2 linked regions of the Coturnix japonica genome follow. The protein of the gene in region 2 interacts with the protein of the main gene of each other region in a pairwise test. Links are inferred from orthologs where the notes say so. Each region holds a gene or a part of one and is shown on either strand. Other genes may lie near its edges.

Evidence for each region.
Region 1: the proteins of NUP58 (region 2) and MIS18A interact in binary tests that used the Homo sapiens proteins (3 or more experiments, as listed by UniProt). The link is inferred for Coturnix japonica from reciprocal best matches to the Homo sapiens genes NUP58 and MIS18A.

The regions. Positions count from the first base shown.
Region 1 is NC_029516.1:94,345,439-94,349,349, forward strand, and holds MIS18A (protein Mis18-alpha), read right to left. Parts: upstream 2,848-3,911; 5' UTR 2,770-2,847; coding exon 2,520-2,769; intron 2,445-2,519; coding exon 2,378-2,444; intron 2,281-2,377; coding exon 2,158-2,280; intron 1,135-2,157; coding exon 1,041-1,134; intron 945-1,040; coding exon 864-944; 3' UTR 273-863; downstream 1-272. UniProt on the Homo sapiens protein: Required for recruitment of CENPA to centromeres and normal chromosome segregation during mitosis.
Region 2 is NC_029516.1:158,397,062-158,400,972, reverse strand, and holds the start of NUP58 (nucleoporin p58/p45), read left to right. Parts: upstream 1-1,465; 5' UTR 1,466-1,688; coding exon 1,689-1,804; intron 1,805-3,911. UniProt on the Homo sapiens protein: Component of the nuclear pore complex, a complex required for the trafficking across the nuclear membrane.

The sequences.
Region 1 (3,911 bases), about 64 Mb from region 2:
CATAACAGTGTTTGAGTTGCCTGAACAGGAAAGACTACAAGACAACTGCAATGTGCCAAACTGCGTGCTACTTTAAAACGAAATGGTAGATAAAAAAAGAGAGAAGAGAGAGTGAAAAATAAGAGAGCTCTCAAGAGAAATGGTAGTTACCAGTAGGAAGAACAGTGGGAAAATTCATTCCAAGTTTCTGGAGACTACTTAAAAATTAGCAGTGATGCAATTAAGTAGCATCGGGCAATGGTATGTAAATAAACAGAAATCAGATTTTTCCCTTACACGATTACCACTTACTTTGATTTATTGGGGATTAAAAAAAAAACAACACAATGCTAGGAAGACATACATACAGAAAACCATAACAGTAAGATCTACATGTTAACAATGAAATATTGACAGAAGTTTCTTAAGCAGCACTGAATTCTTTGTTCAAATATGCACCTAACTTTGATTAAAAGGTGTGCTGCTAGTAGCCTTGTTTCTTCTCCTCTTTGAGGCTGTTACACGCGTGACTCTCAGTACTGCACAGGAAGCCATAGTAGCTGATGCATTTGAAGCCTTCAGTTCAGCAGATATTAAAATACAGGACAACCAGGAGATAAGACCTTTGCTTTCCAAGGTAAAAAAAAATAAATATTTCTATATAAACAACAAATTGACTGAAATGTTTTTTAGAAGTCTTTTTCTTCCCAGGGTATTCTCTCAAGACAAAAGGGGAACTCCTCATCTGTGACAAAGACTCAGTAGCTGGCATTGTCCTACTGCCCACATCTTTCAGATCTTCGAGCAGCTTTTAAAATATTCCCACAGATCCCAGTTTCACACACATCAATCTCCAGCAGTTATTTTACACGCAGGATTTTCTTTCAAGCATTACTGTGAAGAGAATCGATTCTTGATTCAACAGTAGCCAGCCTTGCCTCCAGAGCATTTAGTATGGTGTTTGCCTGTGAAGTAAATGGGGAAAGACCTGGTTAGAAACAGGTGTACAATATAAAGAACAAGTATAGATGTCATCAAAACAATGCAAGATTAAGCGTTACCCTTTTTAGTGCTTCTTCCAAGGCAACTCGACTTTCGAGAGTTAAAGGTTCCTCATCAGTAACAGCCTGCTTTTCTGAGGATCCTAGAATGTAACTGATATGCTACAGTTTAGATGATGCACTTTTCATTCTGAAGGCAAAAGAACACTTGTATGATTCATCCGCCACTCTTGATAAGATCGCAATTAATGCACCAGCACAGTCAAAGCACTATTTTGGCAACAACAATAACACAACCCTATTTTTAGCAATCTTGCAAATGAGCTGTACGGTAAAACTTCAACAGCTTTGAGCTCTAAACAACCAAGATGTCATTCAGATATTAAGATTAGTGTAGCACTAGATGGGAGAACTAGACATCATCACTACTCCAAGAGAATGCTGCTCTGTAGCCCTGTCATAGTCTTCCAGAGACTTTTACTGTCATCAAAAACCAAAGTATTTAGCTGTGTAAAGAAGAAAAGACTGTTCAGAGTAGGAAGGAAAACACCCATGTATGTTCAGCAGAACAGGCTGGAACTTCACATAGAAGTAGAAACAGTAAAACTAGCCCACATGGAAGTAACAGTAGCTTATCACTAGTACTATAACAACACTTGGATAAAAGATCTCTAGTCTGGATACTTAAAATCTTCCACCTTTAAGATGGCTCTGAAGATTGAGATTTTTAAATAAACTTCGGACAGAACTCTAATGTGGAGACTTAACAACATCCTCAAACATCAAAGAACAGTTTAAGACCAGAAGGGCTGAGATCCTGAGACTATTCAGCCTAGAGAAGAGAATTCTGAGGGAACCGATCTTATTAAAGCTTATAAATATCTAAAGGGCAGAGCCAAGCAGTTGGGCACCACTGAAAAGAGCCTGGCCCTATCAGGAGGGCAAGATGCACAAACTGGAAGACAGGATGCTCCATACAAACATGAGAAAAAGCTTCTTACCATGAGAGTGGCAGACTACCAGAATGAACAGCATAGAGGGGCTGTAGAGTCTCCTCCAGAGATACTCAAAACCTAACTACCATAGGGAACTTGCTCAGACTGTTAGCAGCAGCATCCCTTGATATGGTGTCTGGAAGGTGAGGTTAACCCGACAGCAATGCAGATTCTGTCTTTACCTTTCAATTGAGCCAACGTTGAAACAAAACAAATCCCTCTTGTAGTCGAGATGCTTTGGGGTGCATCTGTAGATGCTGCCAAGTGCCCTCGAGCAGCCAGAGCAGGAAAACGTTTCAACCATGCTTTAAAAAAAAACAAAGAGAGCAAATCACTCCTCCCTTCGCCTATTAAAAGTACATACACATGTATTTTATCGACTGTGGTTTGAAGAGCGCTCACCATCCACACTCTCCAGGCCTTTTGGACAGCTTCTGCTCCTTGTCCACTGAGATGTTGCTGGAGGCACCTGCACAGAGCCAACACTGACCAAGGGCCCCCAAAAGCCGTCATGCAGGAGAGGGCAGATGGGAGCAGCACTCACTGCGCAGCAGAATACACGTCGCGTCCTCATCGTTGGCCACCCAACTCAGCGTATCTCCCACAGGCCGCTTGCAGCCGCCGCACAGGAACACCATGGGCAGGTTCTCGTCGTTTTCCTCTTCCTCCCCTTTCCCGTTAGCCCGCGGTCGCTCCATCGGCAGCGCCTCCCGAGGGATGGTCGACTCGAGCAGAGGCAGAGACGAATCCAGCGCAACCGCCCCACCTGACAGCGGATACAACAAGCCCGCCATCACCTTCAAACTGCCCACGACGGAACCGGAACCAGCCCGAATACGTCGCGTCCATGAGGCGGGGTTCGGTGCGTGGCTACGCCCCACAGCGTACATACGCAACTAGCGTAGCAGGGGCGGGGATTAGTACATGTCCCTGCCCACAGCGTGGTTACGTTACTAGCGTAGACGTAGGAGGTGGGGTTGTGTGTCAGCGCTGGTCTAGCTCAGTGCTGTGCCTTCATAACCCCTGCTGGAGTGTGTTAGGAGGTGTTTGGGTGACGTAGCACTGAGAAGGCAGAGAGAAAGTGGCTTTGGTTGGTTTCAAAGTTGTTTTTAGCCAAACTGGTGCGTTGTGCGCTATGGGATGCGGCCCTGGCTTCCCCAGCCACCACACGCACTGAAGGCTTTAGGGATGCAGCCAAAAGCCAGCTGAGGGCCTGCTGTCCTTGCTGCTCAGCTCAGTTAAGCACGTTTAGGTACCACTTGCTATGCTGCCACGGCCCAACACCTCAAGCCTTCAGCTGGCTCTACCTACGTTGTGGCCCCCATGCCCACTGCCCACGTCCCTCAGTGCCACATCCACACGGCTCTTGAACACCTCCAGGGACGGTGACTGCACCACCTCCCTGGGCAGCCTGTGCCACTGCAGCACTGCTCTTGCTGACAAGAAATCCTTCCTAACACCCAACCTGAACCTCCCCTGGTGCAACTTGAGGCCATTTCTTCTCATCACCATTGCCTGGGAGAAGAGGCTGTCTCCCACCTTGTCACAGCTTCTCTTCAGATAGTTGTAGAGAGCTGTGAGGTCTCCCCTGACATCCTGTTCTCCAGACTGAACAATCCCAGCTCCTTCAGCTACTCCCTGTTATGATTTTATGCTCCAGACTTTTCATCAGCTTTGTTGCATCCTCTGTCTATGATGCATTTTGTCAGGTACTTGCCCCCTCCTTTATGTGAATAGAAAGAGATTTCCTTCAGCCCAGCTGGCTGTTTCCAGTAGCTCCAGAGAACACTTCATTGCAGCTGTCTCTCAGAGAGAAGGGTTTGTGACACATCTGGCACTTGTCCATCCCATTCTTAGCTTACTTGGCATCCATCTCAGCTCTGATATGCTGAGGAATAATGTAACTGCCCACCAGGAAGCAAGGGTTACGCTTAAA
Region 2 (3,911 bases):
CACTCCCATGGTTGGTGACTCCACCACTTCCCTGGGCAGTGCATTCCAGTGCCTGACTACCCTTTATGAGAAGTAATACTTCCTAATGTCCAGCCCTCCATAGGAGCTGCTGTTGGGGGAGAAGGGAATGAGCGTGCAGTCCTAGAATCAGAATCAGTGTGGGTCACAGAATCACAGAATCACAGAATGACCCGGGTTGGAAGGGACCTCAAGGATCATGTAGTTCCAACCCCCCTGCCTGGCAGGGCCACCAAACATACACATTTACTAGATCAGGTTGCCCAGGGCCCCATCCAGCCTGGTCTTGAACACCTCCAAGGACGGGGCATCCACAACCTCCCTGGGCAGCCTGTTCCAGGGCCTAACCACTCTCCTAGTGAAGAACTTCCCCCTAACATCCAACCTAAATCTTCCCTCTTTTAACTTAAAACCATTTCCCCTAGTCCTGCTATTGTCAGCCCTTTCGAAGAGTTTACTCCCCTCCTGGGAGTAAGTTCCCTTCAGGTATTGAAAGGCTGCAAATCTTGTAAATGGGTTGGAAAAGATCATCCAGTCCAGCCTTAACTCAAACCCTGACACCCACATTCCACATCAGTCAGTTCTGCACCCACACAGTACTGAACGCCTCCAGGTTCGGTGGCTGCACCGCCTCCATGGGCAGCCTGTGCCACTGCCTCACTGCTTCGTCTGAGAAGTTTTTCCTACCTTCGTCAAACACTTGGTTTTCAAATGATTCAGGGAGGTAATTGTCCCCCTGTACTCAGCACTGGTGAGGCCGCACCTCAAGTACTGTGTTCAGTTTTGGGCCCCTCACTGCAAGAAAGACATTGAGGCCCTGGAACGTGTTCAGAGGAGGGCAACAAAGCTTGTGAGGGGTCTGGAGCCTTATGAGGAGCGGCTGAGGGAGCTGGGATTGTTCAGCCTGGAGAAGAGGAAGCTCAGGGGAGACCTTATTACTCTCTGTAACTTCCGGAAGGGAGGTTGTAGTGAGCTGGGGGTTGGCCTCTTCTCTCGCGTAATCAGTGATAGAACTAGAGGGAATGGTTTTAAGCTGCGCCAGGGGAGATTCAGGCTGGACATTAGGTAGTATTACTTCTCGGAAAGGGTAGTCAGGCACTGGAATGCACTGCCCAGGGAGGTGGTGGAGTCACCAACCATGGGAGTGTTCAAGAAACGTTTGGATATTGTGTTTATGAATATGATTTAGCCGGGAAGTATTGGTAATGGTTGGACTAGATGATCTTCTAGGTCTTTTCCAACCTTGATAATTCTGTGATTCTGTGATTGGGTGACGATGCCCACAGGCCTTCAGAGGGTATTAATATAATGTCCTAATATAATATAACGACTCCCGTTTCCCGTTAACACCTATAACAATAGCAGACTGCTGCCCATCCATCCTCCACGCTCAGTGCCGTGCACCCGTCGGGTCGCTGTCGCTTTAAGATCGGGCTGTGGCGGTGCCTCCATCCCGTGGTGCGTAGCGCGGTGCGCGCGTAGTGCTGTGCTGCGTGGTTGCCCGGTTGCTCGGTCTCTCGGTGTCTGGCCGCGTTCCTCCCGCTGGATCCGCTCCGTGCCGCCATGTGGCGCTGAGGCCCCGCCCGCCTCGGGAGCCCCCGTCGCCCCGCCGAGACCCCGCCGCCGCCTGACGCCGTTCCTCAGCTCCGCTCCGCTCAGTTCCCGCCGCCATGTCTGCGGGCTTCTCGTTCGGCGCGGGCACCCTGGGCTCCGCAGCTGCTGCTGCCGCCGGGGCTGGAGGAGGAGGCGGGGGCGGCGGGTTCTCGTTCGGCACCACCGCACCGAGGTAACGCGGCCCTTCTCCCCTCAATCCCTATCGGCTGGGCCCTGCCGCCGGCCTCCCCTACCGGCCCGGCCTGCGTAGGCCTCGGGGTGGGCGGTCGGCAGGCGGCTCTACGCTTGGGTCTCTTGGCGCTTTTCCGGCCTCTCCATGCGGCCTCAGTCCCGGCCCTGCCCTCAGGTGGGATCACGGTGTCCGCACGGCCCCGGGTGCCGCGGGGCTCCGTCCGTGCCGCTGTTGTGTGCCGACCACGCGTGGCTCTGCTAAAGGCCCCGCTTAGCGCTCAGGGGTCTCTTGGAGGTGTCTCAGAGGCACCTTGGAGGTGTTCAAGACCAGGTTGGACGGGGCCCTGGGCAACCTGATCTAGTAAAGGTGTATGTTTGGTGGCCCTGCCAGGCAGGGGGGTTGGAACTACATGATCCTTGAGGTCCCTTCCAACCCGGGTCATTCTGTGATTCATTCTGTGATTCTGTGAGTCAAGTTTGAGTTTCAGGGTTGTTTTTCTTTTCCATATATGTGCGTACAGGTGTGTTAGTGCCACTGTTTCTTCTGATTTTCTTGCTGCTGTGCTTTTACTGGAAGGAAGCCTGTTCCAGTGGAGCTTTCTCAGAACTTTGGAGCTCTTCCCAAATCTGATGGTGCCAAACTAGTTGTTAGAAGTGAAGCTACTCAGGACATCAATCTCAAATGGGTGTGATTCACAATGCGTGCCCCCAAGCATTGGCAGGAATTAGCAGGGACATGGGATCATCACAGAATAGTTTGTTTGATCTCTTTTAAGGGTCCCTTCCATCAGCCACGAGCATTTTCTGGAGATTGATGGCCCTCCTTGTGGGGGGGGTTGGAACTTTATGATCCTTAAATGTACAACTATAATTGAGAACTTCTTTCATCTGATTGATGCAAGTTTCCTGTAGCATTTAAACGTTTATATAAGCGTTTATTTTTTGCTATTCTATCGAACTTTTCTTAGACTACTTAAAAAAAAAAAGAGTAAATATATCATACGTGCCAATAATATATAATATCTAAAATAATAGCAAAGATGTACTTGGCATTTTTGTTTATATCTTTATTTCCATGAGTAGGATGAGTTGATCTCTGCAGAGCTGAAAGCATTATTGCCAGGTGTTGGGGGAAAGGGGACTTTATTCTGTTGTCTAATCATAGGTTGTTATGGATCACTGTGATCAGTCACAGTTTATATTCTTGTGTCTAAAGGAGTACGGCATGGCAGCCTATGTAATTCCTGTGTGCTACATATTCAGCTTTATACAGGTATGGTGCTTTGTGAGGCGCTTGTTGCCCAAGTGAGTTGTGGATGCCACATCCCTGAATCATAGAATCATAGAATTACCGAGGCTGGAAAAGACCTTGAAGACCATCAAGTCCAACCGCAGCCTAACCAGTACCCTAACTCTAAAAACCCTCCACTAAATCATATCCCTGAGCACCACATCCAAACGGCTCTTAAACACAACCAGGGATGGCGATTCAACCACCTCCCTGGGCAGCCTATTCCAGTGTTTAACTACCCTTTCTGTAAAGAAATTCTTTCTAATATCCAACCTAAACTTGCCTTGGCGCAACTTGAGGCCATTTCCCCTTGTCCCATCATTTGTCACTAGTGAGAAGGGACTTGCCCCACTCTCAGTGAAGGTGTTCAAGGCTGGATTGGATGGGGCCCTGGGCAGCCTGATATAGTGGGTGGCAGCCCTGCCCATTGCAGGGCTGGATCTGGATGAGCTGTGTAAGGTCCCTTCCAGTCTAAGCCTTTCTGTGTTTTGCTCTAGCTCCAAAGTTAGAGTTTTCCCTTAGGGCCACCACGCCGAGGTAATGCCTTCCATCTGTGGGCAGTAGGAAATAAACCCTGTGATCTGTGCTTTTCCATGCTGCCACTGGTTTGCCTTTGTTTTGGCTTAGTTAAACTTGTTCATTTTTCAGTTTCTCTGTTGATGCTGTTGTTTGGTTTTTTGTTTTCCCCATAGTGCTGAGCACTTGTTAGATATAGGAGCTGTGCTCATACTGAAAGTGAGGAGGTGAGGGAATAAAGAGAGGATATTAAACATATGACACTTAATCTGTGAAGATTGTTACGTTGAAGTCTAAACTG